Linked DNA regions of Bombyx mori. The protein of the gene in region 1 purifies or fractionates together with the protein of each later gene. This does not show direct contact. Links are inferred from orthologs where the notes say so. Each region holds a gene or a part of one and is shown on either strand. Other genes may lie near its edges.

What was found. The genes of interacting proteins can lie anywhere in the genome.
Region 2: the proteins of 26S proteasome complex subunit SEM1 (region 1) and ubiquitin-protein ligase E3C purify together in Homo sapiens (affinity purification with western blotting; 3 studies listed by BioGRID and IntAct, with this or other methods). This does not show direct contact. The link is inferred for Bombyx mori from reciprocal best matches to the Homo sapiens genes SEM1 and UBE3C.

What each region holds. Positions count from the first base shown.
Region 1 is NC_085129.1:15,971,811-15,977,397, forward strand, and holds 26S proteasome complex subunit SEM1, read right to left. Parts: upstream 3,289-5,587; 5' UTR 3,217-3,288; coding exon 3,144-3,216; exon of another isoform or gene 3,059-3,143; coding exon 2,892-3,058; 3' UTR 1,539-2,891; downstream 1-1,538. Other genes in the region: importin subunit alpha-5, read left to right, coding at 4-129; ankyrin-3, read right to left, coding at 5,549-5,587. UniProt on the Homo sapiens protein: Component of the 26S proteasome, a multiprotein complex involved in the ATP-dependent degradation of ubiquitinated proteins.
Region 2 is NC_085111.1:13,500,586-13,505,985, reverse strand, and holds part of ubiquitin-protein ligase E3C, read left to right. Parts: intron 1-4; coding exon 5-131; intron 132-402; coding exon 403-556; intron 557-1,059; coding exon 1,060-1,283; intron 1,284-1,789; coding exon 1,790-2,171; intron 2,172-2,774; coding exon 2,775-3,043; intron 3,044-3,930; coding exon 3,931-4,151; intron 4,152-5,400. UniProt on the Homo sapiens protein: E3 ubiquitin-protein ligase that specifically catalyzes 'Lys-29'- and 'Lys-48'-linked polyubiquitin chains.

The sequences.
Region 1 (5,587 bases):
CAGATTTACAAGAAGAGCATCCACATCCTGGACTCCTACTTTATGGAGGAGGAGGACGCCAGCACGCAGCCCGCTCACGACCACGAGCAGTATCAGTTCAGGACAAATGATGCAGCCATACACTTCTAGATAACTGCAAGTTTTGTTTCAGAAGGGTGCAGTAAGCAAGGTGACAAAAAAATCTAATTTATTGAATGAAGGGTTTGTCACTAACTTACACAATACTCAGTGCCTAAATCTGAGCACAATCGAAAACTACTTTTCTTTAAATATTGCTAACAATAACCAATTTAAGATGAATGTAAATTATTCATACAGTCCCAAGTCAAAGCAATTAGACAATAACTTCTATTTCAACTAATCAATTAAATGTTATATATCCAAACACATTATTTCTTGTATTTTTTTATTTTTACATTAATTCCTAAATTATGTGAACCATTTTAGTGTATAAGCTTGCTTGCACCAGTCACAGTCTTGTCTAATTTTCGTAGAACAATTGTATGTTCCCGTTTGAAGACTGTTATACCAAAGCTAACATAAATACATTGTAATGTTCATTTTCTCTATTTTAATGTCAAGATCTTGTGGCTTTGATATACATGTTTATATCTACAGTAGTCAAAAATACATTGTTCATAAATTTCACTAAACAGCAATATTGTATATTAGATAGATTGGAAGCCACAATGGGAGTAATGAGTCCATTTGGTTCCCAATATTTCAAAAGCACAACATGAGTAATCGTAGTTGAGTAATAGAATTTGTTTAGAAATCATAGTATTATTGTGATGAAAAGTTGTTAAGAATCTTTTTTATATTTTTGTCTTTTAAGCTATTTTTATAATAAAGTACCTGAAAAATTAAATAGCACTTATTATTACAGTTTTGGTCGGTGAGTCATGCAACATTGATGGCACTCCTCTGATAGCAGAGAGGCACATTAAGCTGATAATTAATTCAAGCTGCTATCATGATTTTATTGAGTTTATACGAGAAGAGTTGAGTAGCAAATTTTTCAGTCAGTGGACCTGTCTGATTTGTATGTTGTGTCGGTTGCAACCATGCTGCTACAGTGAGGGTAGATCTTTCATTCATAAACTGCATGCACGCACACACATGCAAGTCTTCCCTCGAACACAGTAGCAAGTGATAGGGCCAGAGCCATCAATTTTAATATTTATTTTATTTACCTTGAGGTGAGGAGGGAGTGTCTTAAAGAGAATTGGATTAACTGTGTGAATGAAGAGTATGAGTTCAAGAGATAACATATGATAAGCTTTGACTAAAAAAATAAGTGTGGGAAAGTGACTGTTGTACTATAGAACTGGGACTCATCTCAAAGTGGACAATGGAGTCGAATACAGAGCACTCCATCTATGAACTTTTATTCATTGTGGTTTATTCAGAGAGAGGCAGTATTGAACAATTCATTACAAAATATGTTAGATGCTGTTCAAGATAAACTGTGATCTTCTATCAATAAAACATGTATCCAGGTAACTAATGTTTCAAAGGATGTTCTAAAAATAAAACTGTTTGTAAAAAATCACATTTATTATTATTTAATTACAACTAAGCTAAAATTAAGATTTCTGATCCTTCAGTTTTTCCAGTTGTTGCCTGAAATGAAATAAAATTGTTTCAGATATAATTTACATTTGGTAACTGCTCTCCAGCAGTCCATACTCATCATATGTAATGACTAATAATGTTAGAAACATAAGTACCAACAACTAATTATCTTAAAAGATTATACAGTACATGAGAGTCATTGCAAACCAGCGCAGATCGTCCCATTCGTGCCTTCCTGCAGCAATGTACTAAAGGAGGCTGATTTCTATGGAAAGCATGTATCTAACTCAAACTAGACTTCAGTATTATATTTCAGAGTGGCCAATTGAGTTCCTATTATGGTCTCTATGTGCTTTAATTACTGATACTAAGTGCATACTCTTATATAACCAGAAATATCAATATTTATAAAAAATATTCAATCTATCTTTTTACACAAGATTTATAAATTTGAAACAAGTTTCAATGCTAATTGTATGTACTAGATGACATTTCAACTAAAGATTGATTGCTGTAACATCAACATAAAGGTATTTAATAATATTTAGAGCAAACAAGAGGCATGTTCCTGCTGTAAAATAAAATAAAAACTAGGTGCGTTCGAGGCACGAGACAAATTAAAAATATAAATTTATAAAATTTTGTTTTAAGGTTTGGGTTTTAAATAGTTCTAGAACTTAAAATATAGCTTACTGTACTATAATATTAAATGAAGTCACATCAGTAGTGTTCGCTTAGAATTTACTGGTGATAGGAGCTCTTGTGAGTATGTACGGGTAGGCATCACCACCCTTCTGCCGTAAAGCATTTCAGTTTGAAGGGTAGGGCAGCCGTTGTAACAATACTGAGACATTACACGGGCGGCATTAACGTTGTAGATGTCTATGGGCTCCAGTAACCACTTAACGCCAGGTGGGCTGTAAGCTTGACCACCCATGTAAGCAATAAAAAAACATGGACATTTATTCAGATAGCATAAATATATAATGGAGAACAGAAGCTTGGTCCTTATTATTCTAAATTTAATCAGAAACAATACTGTCTACGATTTGCTACCAAAAGGTTCTTGGCTACTTTGGTCATATTTCTCAGCGGCCACCAAACAACCTTGAAAAATTGTCTGTAGTGGGCAAGGTAGAAGGGAAAAGACAGCCGGCCGGCCGCCGAACTGTTGGTCGGATCAGGTAACCGCGCTGATCGAACTCTCTGTTGCGACCGCCCTGAGAGAAGCCGAAAACCGAACGAAATGGAAGCTGATGGTACAAAGAGCCACGAAGGCCTTTCAGGGACATGACCTTCAGCAATGGGGTATGCGATTAAGAAGAAGAATCAAATACGACAGCAATTGGGCCCATATGAAGGTAACAGAAATCTTTAAGATCTAACCTCAACTGCTGATTAAAATCATCTTGGATGACGTCGTCTTCCCAGTTGTCTTCCCAAACCGATACATCTTCATCATCAGCGTCTTCTGTACCCCAATCTACAAGAAAATTTGAATTAAAATAGAATGAATGAAAACATTTTTTGTTAATTTCTTAATATTCTTCATCTGGAGGTTTACGTACTTTCCGCGGGAAATTCTTCGAACTCGTCATCCTCTTCTAGCAAACCAAGGTCTACTTTCTGTTTGTCAGCCATTACACTGTGATGATTATTGAAATAAGGAAATATCACTTAATGTAGCAGAATAAATAAGATGCAAGTCACAACACAACTGTCACGTAAAATGTAAATTCACAACAATAAACAGTGTTGCCAGATGACCGTGCGAATTTCCCCCCAACTTTTTTCGAAAACCCCCCGAAAATAGGCTTTTTGAAGAAAAAAACCCCCAAAACAGTTTTTACTTATTTTAAAGAAGAAATAAAAAACCAAAAGGATTCTTTTATTTTTTAATCAAGCTATCCCTATAACTTCAACCATCTCTAAGCAATTATCACGATCATATTCACTTTCGTTATTATTATTTAAAGCATACTCGTTTTCGAAGTTAAAGATATTTAACAAGTCCGATGTGGGAACAAAATTTATACATCTATTTGGCAGTGAAGATCGAATCCTGAGAACCGCTTCGGCAGTTTCTATTGCTATTTGGTTGCATTATTTGTCCTTTATAATATTGACTTGTAAATAGTATAGTAGACTATAATTATTCTAATAGTAATTGCAAATTGATACTCAAAAAACCTCCGAAACTTCTCCCAACTAACTTTTTCCCCCCGAATGTCCCCCCAAAGAATCTTTCTCCCCCAGAGTCGAAAAACCCCCCAAATTTGCAGGGAATCCCCCCCATCTGGCAACTGTGACAATAAATTTTGATGTCAGAACAACGTGGTGCTGCCTGTATTGTGGTTGTTTTTTCCGAATTTAGAAATATTTAAGCAACTAGGTATTTGTTTTCACATAATATATTTCATCTCTTTTCCACCATGGTACCCCATGTCACCGTAGTAGAGTTAATTCATAGTACTTTTTTATATCTTTATGTAATATCTTTTTTGCCATACACCATCTGGCTTTGGAAATAACTTTTCTGTACGATGCTTCCTGAGCGCAATGTCTTATTCTTCTTAAAACGAGTGTTGATAACACTACTACAAAGACAATAAAAAGGGACATATTCCGTTTGCACTTAAATTTGATTCGAACAATCTCCACCTTTAAAAAAACGAGTTCATCTTAATAGTTTTCTTTACCTAATGCAGAAAAATTATCAAATCAAAAAGGATCTGAAATCCCTTCATTGTTGAACCCTTTTTTAAAAAAAAAAAATCCTAATCGTACTCAAGGTTGGAACCTTGAGTGTTAGTCGTGGAGCCGGTTAAATTAATATAATTGAAGTGTGAATGAGTAACCTAATTTTGCCGCAAGAAAAACAATTACAAAATCTGTGTACTTAAAAGTATTGCAAGAAGTATTTCTACTTGCGTGTCCTAACTAACATCATCGACGATTCATTTGGTATCCGAATCGTGAAAGTATAACTTTTGTGTTCAAAGTTGAGCTTTCTATCTTTTTATTTTATTGTACTAGTATTAATGATTAATACTTTAGCTGCCTTCTTGTTCACAAACACGAACATAACTTACCTACTCTGTTTATCATTGTAGGCAATGAAACAACTTAATAACCTTACACTCGTTTATTTTTAAAATATTGTCGGAGGATAAACAAAGTACTTAACTTATTAATAACATCGCTTTTTATTATTATTTAAGATATTACAATATAAATATAAAATCACAAAATATCACATAGAAATGTGTTTTCAGACTATAGGTAAATAACATGGTAAATATTTTATACATATACTTAGTATTTACTCAAATTTCCAGTTCCAATTGAAATAATACATTATATAGTAAGGTAATAATAGAAAAAGACAAAAAACAAGCAACAATTTAGATTTTGTTGTATAAAATTTATTTTAAGATGAAAACTATTTTTGGGAATAAATTAAAATCATGCCCCATTTTTTTTATTTCTATACAAAAATGAATCCATGCATTTTGCATACCAAATCTGAGTAACGAACAGGACTATAAAAATGTATAGGATTCCAATAATTTCTTTACAAAAATTGTCTCCTGTCGTGTTTTACTACTAAAAACTTAATATAAAAGATATGTATACTTTATAGTAAAATGTAGATACTTATAATACGTCTCAAAATGAAACATGTTTCGATCTAACATAATATATAAAAAAATGTAAATATTGTCGAGATCGAAATAAAAAAACTAACAAAATAATGTTTCGTCCACGATCTGAAATTAAGCGTTACAATTTTACAAATCTTTAATTTCCCATAAAATAATGGGAACTCCTACAGTACAAGGAAAGTAATATAAATGTGGCAGCACCAACAACCTTCTTAATTTTAATTTGACAAAGGCACCTATCGCGCTCGGCCACCTAAAAGGACCACATCCCTGATTATTTTGTCCAAAAATTAATGATAATTTACGATTTAACGACATTCAAAAAGCAGGTAGTGGTGAAGAGTTTT
Region 2 (5,400 bases), on another chromosome or scaffold:
CCAGGTGCCTTTAGCAGTTCCACTCAGAATGTTTGAAGTATTCACATCCACTAGTACAGTAGAAGCAGCAATGAACTGTGATGAGGCACTGAGATTTGTTGCCAATACATTCTTGTATTTAATTAAAAGAGGTATGTTTATACACATCATGCTATTGTTGGCATAACAACTCAAATTAACATTCAACAGTTTCAACAAGTTTTATAAGAAAGAGATATTAATAATTCATTAACATAGTTTTCTGACACTAAATTACCTAAATTTTCTTTCTTAAAATAATCAGCTTTCATTTGTTGTTAAAACTCAATAAATATTGTGATGAAGATGATAGCAATAAAGACTTCAGTAAAAGTTAAAAAAAAAACATGATCTTTGATCTTGTACTTTTTTATAATTTTTCAGGCTATTTCATGGATCTGTGTAAATTAATATGTGAAAAGACCCCACCAATGTATGGTCCATCACCAAACCCACCCACCCCATTAAGCGGAGCACTTTTAGAGTTAATTCAGCGCCCTCTGTCACTGATCCTGCGAGTGAACATTCCTCAGTATGAGTAAGTTGCTTATTATTTATTTTATAATATTAATTTTAACTGAAATAATGATAAGTAGCATTTTGGCTGTTTCCCTGGTACTCCTCATGACTATGACTAATCAGGTGAGCCATATGCTTGTGTATCTTCCAGGGCAACATAAATATATATCATATCATAAATCATAAATATATATTATCTCTATATCTTATACAGCTTTGCAAATTTTATTCGTAGTAAGTTCTTTTCAAGGTAATTATACAGAAGATATTTTTTATATACCTACACAGTATTTTACATAAGAGCCAAAGAAGATAAGCAATGAAATAATATTCCCCTTTGACCTTCTGTTTTGTTATGTTTTACAAGATGCAAAAACAATGATGATTACAGGAAAAAGTTGTATGTTTACTTTATTGGAAGGTATTGTATTTGTAAAAACTTTGCCATAGAACAGTTTTGGTTTTAGCACTCTATATTAAAATCCGAGGGTTCAATATTGACAAGTATTTATTTTGTTTCAGAGATACAGTAACAACAGAGTTTACTGCGGCATTTTTGTGCAATCCGTATCCAGAACCAGTAGAAATGTTTATATTACCATCTCTAGCACAGGATACCACAAAGAAACTATCATTCTTAGCATTAATAAAGTGTTTACAAGACGACAACAAATATCATAGTAAAAAGATTATAAACGATTCTTGGTTATTGCATTCGGTTTTGGTTTTAGAGCCAAAGCAATTTAGTAAGTATTGATGATATTGTTATTGCTTTAAAATCTAACTAAAAATTCATGGCATAAATAGCAATTCAATAAATGCCAATTTGCCTATATTATTTCACAGCCTATCTAATGATAAGTACTTAGATACTGGATTTAGACTACATTAAAACTGGAACAGATGATTATTTAGCGATTGGCAGGACTATAGTACAAACTTGTTGATGCCGACGATCTCTTATGCCAGCAGTTATTTTGTTTCGATGTTAAGAGACCACACAGAGTTTATAGACTTGTTTATATAAGGCACTAATATGTAGTTCATTGACATGAATATTAAATTTGTGAGTGTATTGTATATCATGAAGTCTACAGTTAAAACAGATATAATCACTAGAGAGATCAGAATATTAATGTCAAACATTATGACATGGAATATTTCCATTTTTGATGTGACATCAGCTGCCATTGCATTTACTTAACCAAGTTGCTCGTTCCTAACACAGCTAAATATGAAATATTTTTTACAGTAAGTGAAATAAAAAATATTGACAATACAAGATTGCCAAGCAATAGAATAGTAATAGAATACCTTAAGGTAATAGCTAGATTGACTGAGAATGTGTGCAACAAACAAATCACCTACGAATTTGAAGACTCACTGTACAGTCAAGAAACTGCAGCGGACAAAGATGATGAAAGTGACAGCGAAACCGAACCGAATCCCACCTCTATTCGTGAACAGATGCTGCTGACGCGGTGTATTGAATTATTGAATGATCCAGAAAGATGCATTATGGTCACCATATCTCAAATAACAGATAATGATTTAAGTGAAGAATTTTTAGAGTACATGTCTGAGATCTGTCACAATTTGCTTTTGAGTCATCGTATGGCTTTGCATAAGTACAGGTAATTGTTAATGAAAAACATAAAAATATTATTTCTAGTTAATCTGCATCATGTCATATTTAGTCTATATTCAATGAATAATGTCAATTTTCACATTCGGCCGTAAACATTTTGTACGAAAATAACCTTCGCAGAATAGGAATAGGGTTTCCCTTCTTAATTCTTGCAGGTGATTAAATGTCAAAACAAATTATCTGATTACAATAATTACTTAAATAACATGTATACTATTATTATGCTAAATATGTTATATAGGGCATAACTTTATTATATAGTATGTCAATGTCATATAGCATAATAATTAATTAATAATGAATGAAATAGTTTTAAATTGAAGAAAAAGTTTATACTAGCAAATTAGTTGCGAAGTTTCAGTAAAGCTTTCGAAGGTAAAGTGTTAACTGAGGGTGGTAGGACGTATTATAAGACCATTTGGGTTGGTCCACCGAGTTGCCTATTTCTGCCGTAAAAGCGTCCGCCATTTTGGTTTGAAGAGTGGGACAGCCATAAGCTGTGAGCTTTTAAACTAAACTACGCAGTAAAGTATATGCTTTTTTTCTGGCTTTAGTTCTTTGTAAACCTGAAATAGGCTATTGTTTTTAGGTTATTGTATACGCTAGCATTTAAACCGATATTCTTACGAGGTCTATGGCGCTGGTTGAGTAATATGAACCACGCTTCCTCGTTCGGTGGTTCGTCCACGTCTCTCCTGTCTGCGTTGTCCCGCGGTATGGGTGCCGAAACTTCTGTGATAGGTGTTCATAGACTACTGGCACCTTTGGCTGTCTTCTGCGCCTTGTTCTCGCTATTAATCGGAACCTTACACGATACGGAGTTCTGCAAAGATATGGACGATGATGAGAAAATGAGCGGTAAGTTTAATATGCCTTTTGTTGTACTTTATAAAAATCTATATATACATAAATAACCAAACGACCGTTTTTTATAATAAATTGTGTCTCTTTCGATGTAAAAATTTTTTTTTTTTTTTTTTTTTTTTTTTTATTGCCCTTGTAGGCAGACGAGCATACGGCCCACCTGATGGTGAGTGGTTACCGTCGCCCATGGACTTCAGCAATGCCAGGGGCAGAGCCAAGCCGCTGCCTACAAATCATCATTCTCAATTTGCTGATATCAAATGATCATTCTCAATTTGCTGATATCAAGTTGTTAGTAGACCTTAATTCAGTTAAAGCTAACTTTTGATGTAATTTTTTGTGTAAGTTGAATTATTGAACTTAAGTTTCTAAATAGCATTTAGTAATATTTTTCACCACAAATTGGTCACACATCTGAAGCATTATGTCATCTGTGGTAAATCGTTGTGTAGTATAATGTTATGCTATAATCTATGACCAGCTCGTCCTTTAAGTTTGTCCCAAATGATATTTCAGCGCAATGAAGTTCCGCTTGATTCAGCTTGGTCCAGGATTTAAATCGTCTGGTTCTTTATTGCTGTTGGCTAAAATATTAGAATACGTATTACGATTCAGGCGTACCAGTATTTTTACACGTGTTTAAAAGGTTCCCGAAAAACATCTCATCTCATATAGTGTAGCATGTTTGACCCGGCATAGGTCGACGAACCTGCCTATTTAAAACTCGATTAAGCATAGCACACGACCATCTTGTATCACATTTTGCGCGGCGGTATATATACAGTATCACTCACGTACGACTTCACTAACGTGGCTCAAAATAACAACGAAATAAAATATCCAGAGATAAGTATTTATCATCATTCGATGTTTTTCAATAGTGTTGAACGCCGGCGGTGGGGGTGGCAGGATTCACGCGTTTGAGTTCTCGGAACTTGGCGGTCTCTGCAGAACGTTACGCCAAGTCTGTCTCGGTCTCATAGAACTGGCCTACCCTGAGTCGAGGCTCACTGCCTGTGGACTGTACAAAGATGCTGTGGGTTACACTGACGTCGAAATGTCTGGCAAGAATAGGACGCCAGCGTGGTCACATCTATTTAAAGTAAGTTCAATTTTCTAATTATTATCTATTCTATATTGCTAGGAGCTGAGATTCGAGAAACATTGAACAATTTTAAACCAAAGATACGCTTATTGATCGACTAGTGTGGTTAGTGCGAGTTTTTCTCGATAGCGTAAAAGTTAATGCAAATTTGTATGGAATTGGAACGTTTGCCTACGTCTGCCGCTAGGGGCGCTGTTCCAATTGCATACAGATTTGAGTTAACTTTTACGCTATCGAGAACGTTAAAAAACTCGCACAAAGCACACTGATCTAGGGGTCGAAAACATAGAAAATAAAAACCACAAAATAGTTCACCGTTATCAATCCGTACTCCACGCACATGCGCATTGTTTTTACTATTTTGCACTCTATTTTTCTTATATTATTTATTCTTATATTTGACTTTGGACCTTTTTTCCTTTCGTATTGTACCGTGGGTCTCGATTCACACTCTTCTATATAGCTTTGTTGTAGATGAACTCGTTCACGCTGATATACGCCCTACCCTATTTTGAACCTAGTCAAATCTTCTTATCGTTCATCGATTGATACGATATTGGGTACGGTCTAATAGTCCGGTCTATTTACACATTCAAGTTTACATAAATTCCCATAAAGCTGAATATTGGCATAGTTGTTCAAAACATCATTATAAAGAAAATCTCAAAAGTCCTCATCGTTCCGAGGTGTGCTAAAAATTTGGCACGGGGTCAAAGGTCAAAAAATGAGTTTTTTGCGATTTTTAGCGAAACGGTGAGTTTTTTCGCAAAATTACCCCAGTACAAAATTGTAGATCACAAAATTCTCTACAAAAAATATATCAATAATTTTTTTCCTAAAAGCCACCATTTTGGAGATATAACGTTCCGAAAAGTTGGATCAGTCGTAATCCCTCTATTTTGCACACGTTTCCACGCCACCTATGAGGTACACAAAGCGCGTTTTTTTTAACGTGGTTTCCCCAGTAGGCCTATTCCACGGGTCTGCTGAGATTTTATATGTTTTAAAACTATTGCAAAATAATATTATATATTATAGTGGGCAAAAACAACGGCGGTGTAATTAAATAAAATACTTAAAATAAAAAGTTAGTCGTCTGATTCATAACTGTCCAAGATTTCTGTTTCTTCTTCTTCTTGATCTTCTTCTCCTTCTTCTTCCTGTTCATCCTCTTGTTCTTCTTCTTCTTCTTGTTCTATTTCACACGTAAACTGCCCCAATAGCGATTCCTGATCGGTATCAAACG